5 linked regions of the Danio rerio genome follow. The protein of the gene in region 1 purifies or fractionates together with the protein of each later gene. This does not show direct contact. Links are inferred from orthologs where the notes say so. Each region holds a gene or a part of one and is shown on either strand. Other genes may lie near its edges. The genes, in order: tada3l, atxn7l3a, taf10, zzz3 and kat2b.

Region 1 (3,969 bases):
CATGGTTGTATACAGTTGTCTCCATATTATTATTATTCATGAACGTATACTCGTAGTAAATACACAAAAACGTGACTGTCAGTGAGTGGAAGAGCAGTTGTGTGCTTGTCATTACAATGAGCTTCTGATAGTAATTCAGGTTGTCAATAACTATTCTTATAAATACATTTCAACAATCATATCAAATACCACATCAAACAAAACATTTATGTAGCATAAATAGTATTTAATCGAATCCATTTATTATTTTGATTCTGTTAAAGAGGATGCAAAATCCCTGACGTTAGCTAGCTAGCATAAATCAGGACAGAACACTCGATCAAATAAGCCAGAAATCAAAGCTGTTTCTCTATGCAAAATGCTTTACCGAAAAGCTTTTTCATGGGTTATTTAATTGGTTGGGCTATAATCAAAAACAATATTTGCAACTTTCGAGAATCGAAAATCTCTTACCATTTTATATGAGGTCTGTGGAGGAAGACGGAAGTCCGCACGCCACGCCTGGAGATGAGGAATCACGCCTCCATTGCGTCCTCACACTCCCGTAATTTATCTATTGAAAGAGCAATTCAGCTTAATTCTCACAAGCGCGTGGTTTAAATTTACACGAGTGGATGTCAAATTACAAAACATATGTTAATGCAAACTAAAGTTGTCACTATTATAATGTAAGAAAATAATACAGCTACTAAAACAACATAACAGTAATGTTGAAAAATCTTTTTGTTTAATTACGGTAAAGCCCAGCAGCAGTTTTTCCTAGATTCGTTTTTTCTTCCTTATATGGCAAATTACTCGACAGGTCAAATAAATTGTACGTTTATCAAACAGGGTGTAATCTATAAATATTAATGTTCCGAAATAAACATTAGCTCTTTTGTGGCTTTGAACAGTTGATTATTTTTTTGAAAATAAATACAATTTATTTCCATTCAGACGCGCTTTGGTATCGAATGTACCATTCAATGAACTGCGGTGTTGCGTTGTGAATGTCAACTGACAGGAAGCGGTATTTGTCGAATGTCGAATAATAATTTAACTATACAATATTTTAAGAAAACGTGCAACGGCCAAATTGAAGCTCTTATGATATACATTCATGTTTTTAAAATGTAATCAACGAGCTGTATCCCCCCTACTGGCATAATGGTCTAGTCAGTAATGGTTGCCCCTTCATCGGAGGTAAACAATGCTATTTTATGAATCAATTAATGCAGTATAGGAGTTGAGTTTATCGTCCTATTTCGTATTTAATCATATAGTTTAATTGTCAGCACAAGTCTTTTCATTGAAAGCTATACGCAAATATGCTGGTAAATGCTATAACCGGCTGCCTGTGCTTTGAACAGCATGGAGCTAAATTAGCTTGTAGCCGTTAGCCTACATTGGCTGCTCGTTATATCATTTATCATCTTATATGGCAATCACTATTACATAATAGAGTGAAAAATTCAATACATGTAGGATTAGATTTGTTACACACCAAACAGTATAAATAACAACACATCTCTGTTTTGTTTTTCTGTAGCTGTCCACTAGTAACGTTACCACTAGATCAAAACCATTTACAATTTGTGCTGCTCATTAATAACACTAAAAAGACAATTAGAATATACTTTTTTTAACCCTCACTTTGTTTATTATTTCATTACAGATATAGATTTCTGTAAATGCAGAGATGAGTGAACTGAAGGATTGCCCCCCATTAAAGTACTATGACTTCAAACCTGTGGACCATGTGAAAGTGTGTCCACGCTACACTGCAGTGCTCAGCCGCTCAGAGGATGATGGCATTGGCATTGAAGAGCTCGACACGCTTCAGCTGGAGCTGGAAACACTCTTGTCCTCTGCGAGCCGACGTCTCCGAGCACTGGAGGAACAGAGACAGGTGAAAACTGCTGTTTTTACACTTGTCTTTTTCACATCTTGTGCGTACACTAGTTTGGAATCAGTGGGACTTTTCAATGATTTTGACAGAAGTCTCTACTTCTCATCAAAGCTGCATTTATTTATTTATTTTTTTAAAAATAAAATGGAAGAAGAAATACAATTTGTGAGAATGTTTTATTGTAAAACAGGTGTTTTGTAATGTAGAATGTAGTGATTTTTTTCCTGTGATTGAATTAGGGCTGCACAATATATAAATTGGGTGTGTGTATAATCAGAATCAGTATCTTCCGTCCAATTCATATCCGTTTTCAAACAAAAAAGGATACTGAAGAAAAGAAAAGAAAAGAAAAAGACTTTTTTTTTTCATTTGCGAAAAAATGACATTTTGACTTGATTTTTATTTTTTTAATTTACGGTAGAAAAATGGATTAACGACTTCAAAATTCTTTATACACATGTAGGTGGTGCTGAAACGCCCTTTTTCCTCTGATTGGTCAACCAAATCTGAGCTCGTAACGTCGCCCTCAAAATAAGAGCACTCTGTGGATCAGCAGCCAGACTTTTAATTATTGTTATTTAATCATATATATAAACTAAGTTTACATATTCTGTCATTTGATCTGTTAGCAGGCCAACATTCTTTGCGTATGCCTAAATTAAAAAAAAAACATAAATTAGCAGTATTTTTAGACATTTGTCGTTAAAATAAGGCCATAGTTCGCTGACAAACGTCCTGCAGCAGCGCAACTGATGCTGAGCAAAGATAGCCATTTCCAAACAGCACCTAGTTTGCATGATTATTTCCTAACAAGGCCTATATAATAATAATGATGATAATATTAATAATGTTAATAATAATAATATTAATAATAATAATAATAATAATAATAATAATAATAATAATAATATATGCCTTTAGTTCTCCTACCAAACGTCTTGCTGCTGTGCACCTGATGCTGAGCAAAGACAGCCATTTACGAGCAGCACCTGGTTTGCATGATTGTTTCCGTGCTACTGAAGGCCTAAATAACAACAACAATAATAATAATATTTAATATTGTTCACTTACTGTTTTTATTGTTTAGTTTTTTAATAATCATTTATTATTATTATAAAAAAATATATATATATATATATATATATATATATATATATATATATATATATATATATATATATATATATATATATATTTATATATATATATTATTATTATTTTTTTTTCTAGACCTAGCCCATGGCAGGCTACGCTGAATATTTAAAATAAGTGGATTTAAATAAAATACAATAGGATCGGTGGCTGTGCACGAGCAACATCTACAGGTAGCCAACTCATTTAAAATCCGATTTCGGTTTTGATTTTGGCTTCAAACGATTATGAAAAAGCATAAATCTAGATAAATGATTATTGCATCATATACCACCATCTTTCCAGCTGTACACATGTGTTGCTCTTAAAAGCGCGAAAGACCACCTGCTTATGTGTGTGTGCGGCACACACAGTTTGTTTCATATTTCTATTCTATTGTATTTATTTCTTTTTCCTTTACAGGGTGGAAAATAACTGTATATATGTAGTTCAAGTCAGAATTATTAGCCCTCCTATTAGCATCCCTTTTCCTACCCAATTTCTGTTTAATGGAAAGAAGTTGTTTTTACTTATTTCTGAACGTAATAGTTTTGTTATCTCATTTCTATTAACTGATTTCTTTTATCTTTGCTATGACAACAGTACATAATATTTTTCTAGATATTTTTCAAAATACAAGCATTCAGATTAAAGTGTGATTCAAAGGCTTAGATGGGGTAATTAGGCAAGTCATTGTATAACAGTAGTTTCTTCTGCAGAGAATCAAAAAATAGCTTGCTTAAGGGAGCTAATAATATTGACCTTAAAATGGGTTTCAAAATATTTAAACCTGCATTTATTCTAGCTAAAATAAAACAAATGAGCCTAGAGGAAAAAAATATTTTAGAAAACACTGTTAAAATTCCTTGCTCTGTTAAACATCATTTGTGAAATTTTGACTTCAACTGATAATCGTTTTGAATAATCGTGATTACAATTATGAACTAAAT
Region 2 (2,992 bases), on another chromosome or scaffold:
ACACCCATATGTGATGTACTGCTTAGTCACTATTGAGTTGTCCTTTTCCCCCCTCTCCCTCTCTCTTTTGCCAGTTACATTGAAATCTATTTATTTCCTTTGTCTTTTACATGGCACTGGTTCAGCACATCCGCTTCTAGTTATAAGAGTTTTATACTTGATAAAGATTTTACATGCAACCCTCAAACAGTATCAGGACTGGAGTAGACTATAGGGAAAACTCACTGTGTTGATAGGCATTAATACATGACAGCGATAACAGCCACACATTTGGTGTCCTGTGTAAAAATCTGTATATATGCAATGTATTTACTGTAGATAAATCAAGACGTGTGTGGGAACCACAAAGCATTGGATACTTTGGTTCTTGTTTGAATGGGTTGCACTTTTTTTTGCTCAATATTGTCAGAAATTGAATATGGTTTTAGGGGAAACTACCTATTCTGTTTGCTTTAACAGACAACTAGCACCTCTTTAATGCTTTGTTTTTGCTTGAGAATAAAATAGCTCATATTTGAAAGACACTTGTTGAGCATATTTTAATGTGAGCAAACAAATGACTCTTTCATTCCTCAGACTTCAGAAATTAAATGGTGAATTACTTCAAAATGAATATTTACTTCAACCATTACAAAGACACTACAGTGCATTGAGAGACAGCAAGAACTCGGCGTCACAGACGAAACATCCACTCACAGCAAGGACAGTGTGAATTGTACCAATTCTGTCCATTCACAACAAACACAAAAGCTCAAGTCATTTCAAACTCTAAAATTCACTAACGATCAAACAATGACAACATTTTCACTTTAAAAAAGACAAGGCGTCCATAGGGGCTGGATTTGATCCATCTTAAGTGCATTTTCAATTGCTATACGCATTTCTGATTAGACTTTAACAAACTATATTTAATACAAAACCATCTAACGTTAAATAGTAAGTGCTTTGAAGATCAACAAACTCATTTTAAGTCCATAATGCGAGGAAATGCATACACATATCATGATTTAAAACAAAACAACATTCACACAGCAGATCAAATAAATACAGGCAAAATATATTAACCATGACAGCAAACAAGAACAGCAAACTCCAAAACACACAAGGCAGAAGATTGTGTGCGCACAGATTTGGCAGAAAGCTGCTGGTAGCGCTAACCAAGTTCATTAAAGAGACAGATCAGCCACAATTGAAAATTCACATTATTCACTCACGCTCATGTGCTTTTAAACACACACACACAAAAATTGTGAAGAATGCTGGAAAACACTGATTTCCATACTCTCATTTTCCAAAATATCTTCTTGTGTAAACTCAAAAAGGCTTTAAACAAGGGTGAGTAAATGATTGCAGAATTTTCATTTTGGGGTGAACTGTCCCTTTAAGGGAGAGCAAAAGAGAGTATATTGTTTGGCATTAAAAGAGCATAGCCGAGCCTATCAGGTTGCAGAAAGATTAGCAAGACAACATGAAGCAGAGACGTCCTTTAAAAACCACTAAGCACCTGACTGAATTACATGAGCCACCAGGGACAAAATACTTGCAACAACCCATTCACATACAAACTGTCCAACTCTCACACACACATCACTGTAAACCCAAATCTCCTAAGAGATGACAGTGAACTGCATAGTAAAATCAAAATAAAGCTAGTTCCATTCACACAATATATATATATATATATATTCAGTTAAATCACTCACTGTGCAACACTGTGCTGTAACAAATGATCTCTTCATGCCTGCAGAAGTCTGAAAAGGGGCCCAGTCTTTACACACACGTCACGTTCACGTGCACTGAAATGGGGGAAACTAAAGACCAGATAAAACCTCATCAAGTCAGTCATGATTGGGTGTGGGTGTGTGTGTGGGATGCATGTGCCTTAGTTCAGGTCATCATAGATGCTGGGTGCTGGAGGAACTGCAAGTTTTGGTCGCTTTTTCCGACTTGAGAGACCCAGAGCATTCTGGGAGCTGCTACCGCTGCTCCCGCTGCCTGCTATTCTGTCTCGCTCCTGTGCTTTATCCCTCTCTCCTGCGGGAGTCAGAGAAAGCGTGCTGGGCTTCTTCTTCTTCGGTCTCTTGGATTCAGAGTTATTGGTGCCTGAGAACGAGATCATGTCATGACAAGCAGATACATGTGGCGTCTTGACAAAAAAAAAAAGTCTTCAGGAAACTCACTGGCTTTTGAAGATGCCGAGTCTGATGGGGAGATGTCAGAGGAAGCGTCCCAATGGAGACGGGACATGATGAGCTGGCCATCAGGGGGTTCATAGGCCTCGTTTTCCAGCATGGTGTCAGCGTCTGGTAGTGTTGACCTGGTAAACAGAAACAGGAAATGACTCTCTCGTCAAAAACGCTGAATTGGCACCTCAGTTCAAGGAAAAAGTCGACAGATGGAGTATGACACCTAAACTACATTTTCCAGTGATCTGACCTGGTTTCTTGTCAGCAATTATGTTATGAGTTGAAACGCTTTAATTTGAGAAATTAACATCTTTCAAATCTGACTCACAGCTGCTTTCTTAAATAGAAACTAGACCACAACATCAGTGTGCGGATTATGGAAACATGCAGAGTTGATGAAAAGGAGAGGTGGAATCAAGCTTCCTCATGACATAACACAAAGCATGAGGAGGTCATTTAAACACAGACAGGGTCTTATTTTATAGCTAACAAATTAACAAGAAGCTTTTTATACTAGCCTAAAGGTCTTTTGCACACTGAAGTCTGACATTTTTGCATGCGTTTTTGCATATCCAGTCTGACGCGTATTCATTAATCCATTATGAAAAAACGCAAAACGTTTCGGAGTAAGTTTAAGCAGTGATACCTTCTCCTGTCTTCTCCAAAGTAGAAAAAGCAAGAGGAATAGGCTGCATATTGTGTTCATCCAATACTGCATTGAGGAAGGAGAGATCAGCTTATTATCAAAGAGCTGCGCTGGATTATCCCAGAATGCAACATTTATCAGGAAATCAGTGGAATTTTGA
Region 3 (4,081 bases), on another chromosome or scaffold:
AAAGAGTTTAAAAATACGAGAACAAACCTTTGTGTTTTCACACACCCAAACATTTTTTTTTTCTTTTGTTAAATTATCTATTAATTAATATTAGTGTCCAAAAAAAGCATTTAGGAAATTAATAACATTTTCCCCTCCAAGATCTAACACACTTAAGTTTGTTCTAGAAACCTTTCAGAATAATATTTATTATTTTGGACTGGATTTAAGCAGGCATTCTAAGGAATTTATTTAAATTTCATTAATTCCAAAAGAGCTCTGGTTTCCCACACAGTCCAAACACATGCAGTTAAGGTGAATTGAATAAACTTAATTGGTCGTAGTGTATGTGTGTGATTGAGGGTATATTGATGTTTCCCACTACTGGAATGCAGCTGGAAGGGCATGCGCTGTGTAAAACATAGGCTGGATAAGTTGGCGGTTCATTTTGCTGTGGCGACCCCTGATGAATAAAGGGACTAAGCTGAAAGAAAATGAATGAATAATGCCATAAGATTTAATAGCCATTTTTAGAAATAATAAACTCTAAATGACAGGCTATAAGATGATATATTCAAATTTTAATTAAAGTATTATAATAATACTTACAATATTATTATAATATATATAATATATTTAATACTAATACTCAGAGTGCAAATTACTCTGTCAAATTTAGCCTTTTTTTTTAAATGACATCTAAAGACATTTAAATATTCTCTTATTATTTTAGAGGTTACTGTAACTCAAACTATACAAACACCTATTTTACAAGAGAACTGTCTCGAACACTACAGTATCCACGCTGTTGAATGAGTCTTGCAAAGACTGATTGGCGCGATTATGCCTTTAACCATAGGGGTGGTCAAATTTATATTTGTATAATCTATTTTATTTTAATTATTAATATTATTTAAGATAACATGAGTAACATGACAGCATGTAAGATTGATACGCTAATAACAAGATTATTTTGTGGTTTAAGTGTATTAGTTGCAGTCACAGAGACCTTAAAGTGTAATTTGAACACTATAACTATATTTAAGTTTTCTGACATTCCTTTGTGTGAAATAACCCACTTCACCGCCATCACTAGATGGAGCTGTTGCAAAATGTCCTCGGTCTAGGTCTACACACGCAATATGTTTCTTCTTTCTCCTTTTGGATGAACTGCAAATTATATATTGAATGCCAAATACGTATGACAAAGTTTGCGCTTTAAATTCAATACTACAAATAATAAATGTGAGCTAAAAGGGATTTATCCGGAACCATTGACGATTTCCAACACCAAGCGGGATTTCATAGTGGTTGCACACGGAAGTGTTGATCACCTGACGCAGTTGCAGCGTAAATATTTTTATCATCAGAGCGAGCGACCGATACTTCGCCGTTTAAACGGCATAAATGAGCGCTCGACTCAACCCAACATTAGTTTAAACTGTGTGTGTTTTTCTAGTATAGCTTAGCGTTTGCAATACATAAACTAAGCCGGGAAAATGAACGTGGATCTCACGCAGACCGGAGCAGCAGCGGCGGCGTCCAGCAGCAGCAACTGCGTCCCGAACAGCAGCACCACAAACGCCAGCAGCATCCCTGCGCTCGCCAGCAGCAATGGTGTGTGTCTCTGTGTGTCTTTTCCACAACACTCATTTTTTACTGGGCGATGTGACTTGAAAATAATAACAGTTTATCGCTTTTTTTATATTAGTTGTTATCGCCAATTATCACAAAAAAGTCACAACTTTATTTATTTCACGTTTTAATGCAGATTTTTGCTCCTGAATAATAGTTGTACGAAGCAAACAGATAACTAATCGTTTAAACTTCTCGTATATTGTAAAACTTGTCAAACGCATGTCAAAGAGATGAACATTTCACAGATCTGAGGTAACGTTACAGCAAAAACCAACGTTTTTGGGACACCCCTCCATTGAATTCAGGTGTATTATAATCAAGCACCTAGGCATGCAGACAAACATTTGACAGAATGGGTTGATCACAGAAATCCAAGTGATTTTAAACGCAATGTGCAATGTGGCCTACATGACATTTCCTCACTACAGCTAAATATTACATGGTCAACTTCAAGTCTTCTTTCTTGGGGTGCTCTTGCTTTTCTTTTTTACTGCAATTAGTACAACAGTGAATTTTCAAGGGCAATAGCATAAAACGGGTATAGTAGTATAGACAACAACTGAAAAACAAGCCAATCACATTTTCAAATCAAGGTGCAAATAGTGACAATTTATTTTAAAAAATCGATTTAAGAAAGTAAAATTTGTTTCTTTTAAGGTATAAAGGTAGTGAGACAACTGTGGGGGGTAGAAGAGGCACATCATGCACATATATCCTGGCAGTGCTTAAGAATGAACAGTTTTTGAGAAACTACTCTCGGCCATTAATTATATTTTTGATCTTCATATTTCTAGATCATTCAAAGTACTTTATCTAGGGGACATAACTATTAAACTTGAAAAGGAGGCTGGATATCTATTTAAAATATTATTGGCAAAAAGTAAGAAAAGCTATAACCTGGAAATGGTATGAAGAAGATCCGCTCAAAATAATAACAGAAATGGAAAAAATGATTACAAATAGAAAAAGAGATGGCTGGCTTTCTCTACAACGGCAATACAATTATCCATAATTTAACGTTTACGTAATTCTAGAGGTTATGCATCATTGCGAGAATGTTTGTCAACCTTTTATTATATTTGTTTTGTACTTTTTTATTCATTTATTTTCTTGATGAGGTTAATTTACTGTTTTTTATATATGTATGCATATAGATATACTTGTGTGGAATGGATGTATTTGTGTATATACACGTATATACTTGTTATGTATGTGTGTTTATATGTTTTATAGTTTGTTTTGTTCCCACTGGTTATATGTTTCTAAAAAAATACATAAAAACTAAGTATTAAAAAAAGATAGTAAGATGTGAGTGATAGTTTCTATTTTAAAATGAGTAAAATTAGTTTACTTACACTTCCTATTTACACTTTACACTAAAATACTTTTCCATTATTAAACAGTAAATTCACAATATACCAAATTTTAATGTCAACATAAACTCCTGGGGCAGACTCTGTGCTTAAAGAAAATGAAGAGCGACCAATTCACAAAATTTGTGGTTTTAATGCATTTATTTACACAATTCATAAAGCCACTTTAAGCTGCATCATATTAAAAAAAACTATTAGTTGTTATATTGTAATCCTGTCACATATTACTGTTTTATTTGAAAATTATATCATGTAAAATATAGTTATCATGTGTTATTACCACGGCCAGACAGAATCTGCAGACATTTTTTGCTGTTTCTGCGCAGAAGTAAAAAATGTGTGAATTTATGCAAAAAGATTTTGGAAGCAACTTAACTAAATACTTAATATATGGAATTTTAACTTATTTAATTTTTTAATTAAATAATTAGATGCACTTATTTGGTAAACAAAGCAAGTCTACTAAAATCTACTAAAAGACGAAATATTACTTTACAAACTGTATTGTAAATAAATCATATGAACATTTTCATATGGTCAATAATATTACTGAAATAAATGTAATAATAATAATAATAATAATATATATATATATATATATATATATATAATAAAATATATAAATTTGGCAAAAAAAAACCCTGTGGAAATCTGTGGATTTCTGCGCACACAGATTCCATGTGGGCCTAGTTACTACCCAGCCCTGATCAGAGAGCTTAGCATTTACCTACAAACATTTAATTATAAATTCAATTATTTACACTTAGTTGTCCAACTTTTGTCCAAAGCAACTGTCAAATGAGAAAGGGTATTGTGATTTATCACAAAGAGCCAATGCCCACTTTAATGCCTGTATTAACAGGAAGTTGTTGCAAACTTTTATTTCAGTGTGATGACCTATTTCCAACTGAATTGAAATATTGAGCAGTGGGCGGGTTTTATTTTTGTGCTCCTGTCATCTTTCACTTGTGGCAAACTTAACGGTTGAAGAGGTGTGGCTAAGCATCTTTTGCTCCAATCTGTCAAACTGACGTCATCAGAGAAGAACTGCCATAACAGAGCAGAAGCAGATGGTCAGATTTAGATTAAAC
Region 4 (3,522 bases), on another chromosome or scaffold:
AAAAGAGACCATGCAAAAGTGGAGACCCAGGTGGTTTTAATATTACAGAATATGTGTTCCACCATTCATAGGCTTCACACTGATGTATATATGACAATTTTAAATTTAAAACAATTTACAAGTTACAAACTAAAATTAAATAACAAATTATGTTTTTGACGCAGTTGAATCAGAATTATTTGCCCTCTTTTGAAATTGTCTTTCTTTTCAAACTATTTCCCAATTTCTAGGCTTTATTGGTGATAACTAAGCTAGCTAGACAGTAATGTGTGAATTGTTGAGTGGGCAAAATAAAAACAAAAAAAAAGGTCAGTATTTTATTTTTATTATTGCCATAATTAAAAAAATATATAATTGTAGAGCAACCCAAGTTCTATTGCCATTAATATTTAACTTTAATAGGTTAGTTGAAGTCAGAATTATTAGCCCCCCTGAATTTTTAGTCGTCCTGTTTATTTTTTTCCCAAATTCTGTTTAACGGAGAGAAGATTTTTTTTTTCAACACATTTCTAAACATGATAGTTTTAATAACTCATTTGTAATAACTGATTTATTTTATCTTTGCCATGATGACAGTAAATAATATTTGATTAAATATTTTTCAAGACACTTCCATACAGCTTAAAGTGACGTTAAAAGGCTTAATGGGGTTAATTAGGTTAACTAGGCAGGTTAGGGTAATTAGGCAAGTTATTGTATAACGACGGGTTGTTCTGTAGACAGACAAAATATATATATATATATATATATATATATATATGTGTGTGTGTGTGTGTGTGTGTGTGTGTAGTGTAGCCACAATGCCCATGTATGCTGTTTTGTTGATTTTCCTACTGATGATGTTTGTTTAGATGATCAGAGGAAGGCTGTGCAACCAGAGCAAACCAGACACCTTCAACCAGCTGTGGACCATCGAGGAGCAGGTAGTACTAGTAGCTGTGAACTCTGAGACGTCTATAAACAAATTTAAACAAACTATTAAATGTGCACAGGTTGTAACACTGTTAGTCCAATTTATACTTTATTATTGTGAGATTGGCATCCCCCCCATGTTGCTGATATCCTTGTGAGCAATTGTACTTCTGCGTTCTGTCCATGTTGCTCTGCAATAACACTTCCGAAATAGTAGTTGGCAGTGGGGATTCTGTGTAAAACTGTGTTTTTTTGCCAATGTTTTGAGTTTGCACAGAAAATGGAGTAACAACAGTTCAAACTCACACTTTTTCTGGGAAGAAAGTTGGGAATCAGTGTGATCTTTTGCTGCTGTAGCCCATTCGCCTCAAGGTTCGACATGTTTTGCGTTCAGAGATGCTCTTTTGCATACCTCACTCGTAACAAGTGGTTATTTGAGTTAATGTTGCCTTTCTATCAGCTGGAACCAGTCTGGCCATTTTCCTCTGACCATTCTCTGTAAACCCGTGAGATGGTTGTGCATGAAAATCCCAGTAGATCAACAGTTTCTGAAATACGCAGACCAGCCCATCTTCCCCATTCGGATGCTTGGTTTAAATTGCAGCAGATCGTCTAGACCATGTCAACTTGCATAAATGCCTTGAGTTGCTGCCATGTGATTGGCTGATTAGAAATTTGCGTTAAGCAGTTGGACACCTGTACCTAATAAAATGGCCAGTAAGTGTATAGTGTGAATATTCTATATTTGAATATTTAACTTCTGTACCTAAATACTGTGATTTTAAAATATTTCACTTCTATTGTTTTCAGTAGTAATCCCTATATTCTTCCAGAATAATCCCCAGTCTAAATTAATGAATTCTTTCCAAATCATGCTGTTTATATGGCAATCTATATCGCAACAAAACAAAATATCGCTAATTTTTTCAAATATCGTGCAGCCCTAACAATTGTCCATTTAAATTTGTGAACGTATGCTATTATGTACATTTTAGTCTTTGGTGTAGCTGTTTTCTCATCTCATCTTGTATGTGAAACCTGTAGAAAAAGTTGGAGCAGCTGCTTTTGAAGTTCCCACCAGAGGAGGTTGAGTCTAAACGCTGGCAGAAGATCGCAGATGAACTTGGCAACAGGACCGCCAAACAGGTGCGTCTTCAGGGCCTGCCCATTCTCTCATAGCATTGACGGACTTCTCTTTCTAGTCACATTTTCACTGCTCAATAAATAAGTCATGCAATTCAAAGCCTCATTTAATGGAAGCTCTGTTGTTTACAGATGGGTTTTTTTTTTGCTAATGTGACAAGAGTCTGAAAATATAAAAGCTGTGGTCAGAAAGCTTCATCACTGAATTTATGGCCAGCTCTTTTTATGTCAAATGTTTGTTGCTTTTCTCTGCAGGTTGCTAGCAGGGTGCAGAAGTATTTCATAAAACTGACAAAGGCTGGAATTCCAGTGCCCGGCAGAACACCCAATGTGTGCATGTACAGCAAAAAGGTATAATCATTTTTTTAAATTAATTTTACATTTGTATTATTTTCTTTATATGTCATGTAATGTACACATAATTTGTATATTTATCTTTACACATTATTTACTACAACAAAGGGTTTGTGACTGTTTAAAGAGCCATGAAGCCCCCTGTCTCAGCAGGGTGTTTTTACACCTCTAGTTTGAAAAAAGTGGTCCAGCTCTGTTTGGGTGGGCGTGTCAAGTGGCGAAAGAGGAAGGGTTTGCATGAAAAGGGGAGTTTCAGTACGTGCACATGCTGATTTTCAAACACACGCACAGGCGAGATAGACTGTGACTCGGAGAGCAGCGGATCTAAGAGCTGTGTAAAAAAGTGCAGGATTTCTCTCCACCAGATTCTCCTCAGTCACATTATCTGTTTGATGACAGTGCAGGGCCACTGCCTTATCATTTTAAACCTTTCAACAAAAGCACGCCTGTGAATGCAGGAGAAAGTGAAAATGCTCCTGACAAAAAGAACATTGAAGTCTCGCAATTGTAATTATTATTCCCAACTTTATTTGTTGAAATAAACAAATAACTATTAATCACACCATTGTGCCTGCCAAAAATACACTAAAAAAAGAGGACTGTTTTAATCTTAATTTTCTCTGTTGTAATCTTAGGGTGCTTTCACACCTAGACTTTTGTTTCGGAACCTGTCTCATTTCCCCAGTTAGCGCGGTTCGTTTGGCATATGTGAATCAGCAAATGCTCTCTGATCCGCAGCAAAACAATTAGCCCGGAATCGCCTGAATGAGGTGGTCTCGGCTCGATTGAAACCAGGCCCGGATTGGCTAATCGGGAGGACCGGGAGAATTCCCGGTGGGCCGGTCTGTTTTTTGGCCGCGAGGGCCGGTGTCCCTAGCTGCTTGCACTCTCAGCAGTCACACTTTTTTCTTCTATTTATTTATTTGACCATAGCTTTACTTTTTTTAATCATTATTTTGCCGTAGTGCCGCTCTTTTTATTTATTTTCTCGCAGCCCCGTGAGAAAAATGCAGCCTGCAGGTTAACTAACGTTAATGATGATGATGTAATGCAACTATCGACCCCAAACAGCGGCACCTTAGTGAATATAAGAATTCGAATAAAATGAATAAT
Region 5 (2,236 bases), on another chromosome or scaffold:
TTTTTCACAATTAAGAGCTATAAACCTGATATAAAATATTTTGTCACAAACCTTTGTGTTTATATGCTCTTATAATTATCAGTTTGATGGCACAGCTTTGACTTTTTTCTCACAATTGCAAGTTTATAGGCTTTCTCACACAATTCTGACTTCATATTTGACATGTATTTAACTTTTTTCTTCAGAAAGGTGATATAAACTGCAAGTTTTGAAGTAGAAACTGCAAGATATGAAGTTGCAATTTTGAGGAAAAAAAAAATTGATTTACAAGATGTTAACTGTTATGTCAAATTCCCAAATATAAAAAAACAAAACTCCAAAAAGAGAGATGTAAACTCACAATTATGGATAAATATTCAAATTTGTGAGATAAAACGTGGCAATTGCATTTGTTTTTATAATTCTGTGGAGGAAACAAGTTTCCATATGGATAAATGGAGTTAAATATGCTAAAAAGAGGTAGAGAAAGAGGGAAACGGACTGCGTGCACGTGCCCTCGGTTAGATTACTTGTCGATGAGGCCTGCCTCCTTGATCTTGGTGTAGAAGAACTTCTCTAGTAGATTGGCACATTTGTAGTACTCGCTTTCAGGAGGGTTGTATTCTCGACAGTTAGTGAAGATCCTCTGCATGTCGGCCATGAACAGCTTCCTCGTGGTGTAGTAACGACTTTTCAGCCGCTCGCTCATCGTCTTCAGGTCTACAACAGGAGACATCCATGATCATTCATGATCAGTTTGGGATTTTATAATGTTTTTCAAAAGAAGCCTGTTCTGCTCACCAAAGGGGCTTTTACTTAATTTAAGTTTTACCTGAGTAAAAACTCAAATTTACTATGAATTACTAATAATTTTTTACTTATTAAATGTAGTTTAAAATGTAGTTAATTTCTGTGATTTAAAGATTAAATTTTAGCTTCATTACGTCAGTGTCACATGATCCATCAAAATTCATTTTAATACACAGTAAAACTTGAAAGTATTACTTCAGCTTGTTACAACTACATGAATTAATCCATTTTCACTTAATTTATTATGGTTTTCAGTAATAATTAAGTTTTAGGTGTAAAAAAGTATATTTTTTTATTTAACTAATAAACCTGTTTTTCAGTGATCTGCAAGGTTATTTTAGCAAACGAGGACTAAATTTACAATTAAAACATTTTTGTTAGCTTGAAAATAAAATGAAAAAAAATTCACAATAAACGATAAACTAAAGGAAACTAACATTGAAACACTAACTCAAATAAAAAAATAATTAGCAAAAACAAATCATTATCTTCAGATTTCGTAAGCACTCATTCTGTTGTGGACAATTTGGAAAAATTACACTTTGTTTATTTAAAATGAGCTGAAACAATCACAATTCTTAAGGTTTTTAGGGGACAACTTAATTGTTTTATGTACAATCCACTTAACTTTGTAAAAGTTAACTGAACTCCTTCATGTTGTCCCAACACAAATCGATTGTGTGAAACCCAGCATTTTTTACAGTGGGACCAGCGACGATTTAGAGAAGAACCTGTTAATGGTGGTTTTACGGTCAAACATGTCAGTCAAGATTCTGAAATGTGCATCCAATGTGTGCTACGCTATCCCATAATGCCCCGCGAGAGAATTCATGAACGGGAGTGAATCGAGGCAACTGACACGGGTAGGTCACGTGATCATGACAAAATGGCTGATGTAGTACGTCCGAGCTCCATTCATACATTCATACTGTATAGAAAGTACTTTTCTAATGGTCAAGAAGTACATTTTAATTAAAATGCAGTACCTACTGAGTAGTAGGCAGCTTTGGATGCAGCCTGGGTATGTTAAACTTTATATAAGGATTGATCTTTCTGAATTCCTAATTTGTAAGGTTTTTGGGTTCAGTGTTTGTTCAAATAATTATTTAATGTTTGGATTTGCACAAGAGTTAATGTAAGCTGTGCAACTATTAACTTTAATTTGGTGGACATTGGATATGTTTTGTTAACGCTGTTAAACTACAATAGGTATATGCCGAAGTATGCTAAAAGACTTTAATTTGTCAGTAACCTAAGTTAAGTGTTTCCTGTGAACTGTATGTCATTGCAAAATCTGCGTGTTTAAGGTCTGTTTTCTTTAAAAACCAGCTATCTTTACTAGCTGAGTGATATCAAATATAAAGTGGGTCTCAATTTTTACAAGAAGCACTGCATTAAATAAAAATTTTTCCCAGCCATGTCATGAACATTTATTTTACTAGCCTGC

The links.
Region 2: the proteins of tada3l (region 1) and atxn7l3a purify together in Homo sapiens (affinity purification with mass spectrometry; 6 studies listed by BioGRID and IntAct, counting the BioPlex papers as one, with this or other methods). This does not show direct contact. The link is inferred for Danio rerio from reciprocal best matches to the Homo sapiens genes TADA3 and ATXN7L3.
Region 3: the proteins of tada3l (region 1) and taf10 purify together in Homo sapiens (affinity purification with mass spectrometry; 5 studies listed by BioGRID and IntAct, counting the BioPlex papers as one, with this or other methods). This does not show direct contact. The link is inferred for Danio rerio from reciprocal best matches to the Homo sapiens genes TADA3 and TAF10.
Region 4: the proteins of tada3l (region 1) and zzz3 purify together in Homo sapiens (affinity purification with mass spectrometry; 4 studies listed by BioGRID and IntAct, counting the BioPlex papers as one, with this or other methods). This does not show direct contact. The link is inferred for Danio rerio from reciprocal best matches to the Homo sapiens genes TADA3 and ZZZ3.
Region 5: the proteins of tada3l (region 1) and kat2b purify together in Homo sapiens (affinity purification with mass spectrometry; 8 studies listed by BioGRID and IntAct, counting the BioPlex papers as one, with this or other methods). This does not show direct contact. The link is inferred for Danio rerio from reciprocal best matches to the Homo sapiens genes TADA3 and KAT2B.

The regions. Positions count from the first base shown.
Region 1 is NC_133186.1:18,274,989-18,278,957, forward strand, and holds the start of tada3l (transcriptional adapter 3), read left to right. Parts: upstream 1-1,157; 5' UTR 1,158-1,224; exon of another isoform or gene 1,225-1,313; intron 1,314-1,654; 5' UTR 1,655-1,678; coding exon 1,679-1,888; intron 1,889-3,969. Other genes in the region: arpc4l (actin related protein 2/3 complex, subunit 4, like), read right to left, coding at 454-456. UniProt on the Homo sapiens protein: Functions as a component of the PCAF complex. The PCAF complex is capable of efficiently acetylating histones in a nucleosomal context. The PCAF complex could be considered as the human version of the yeast SAGA complex.
Region 2 is NC_133178.1:18,805,891-18,808,882, forward strand, and holds the end of atxn7l3a (ataxin-7-like protein 3), read right to left. Parts: intron 2,318-2,992; coding exon 2,181-2,317; intron 2,104-2,180; coding exon 1,883-2,103; 3' UTR 514-1,882; downstream 1-513. UniProt on the Homo sapiens protein: Component of the transcription regulatory histone acetylation (HAT) complex SAGA, a multiprotein complex that activates transcription by remodeling chromatin and mediating histone acetylation and deubiquitination.
Region 3 is NC_133183.1:27,712,081-27,716,161, reverse strand, and holds the start of taf10 (transcription initiation factor TFIID subunit 10), read left to right. Parts: upstream 1-1,259; 5' UTR 1,260-1,478; coding exon 1,479-1,596; intron 1,597-4,081. UniProt on the Homo sapiens protein: The TFIID basal transcription factor complex plays a major role in the initiation of RNA polymerase II (Pol II)-dependent transcription.
Region 4 is NC_133177.1:9,166,334-9,169,855, forward strand, and holds part of zzz3 (ZZ-type zinc finger-containing protein 3), read left to right. Parts: intron 1-851; coding exon 852-923; intron 924-1,956; coding exon 1,957-2,058; intron 2,059-2,310; coding exon 2,311-2,406; intron 2,407-3,522.
Region 5 is NC_133194.1:23,150,721-23,152,956, reverse strand, and holds the end of kat2b (histone acetyltransferase KAT2B), read right to left. Parts: intron 700-2,236; coding exon 506-699; downstream 1-505. UniProt on the Homo sapiens protein: Functions as a histone acetyltransferase (HAT) to promote transcriptional activation. Has significant histone acetyltransferase activity with core histones (H3 and H4), and also with nucleosome core particles.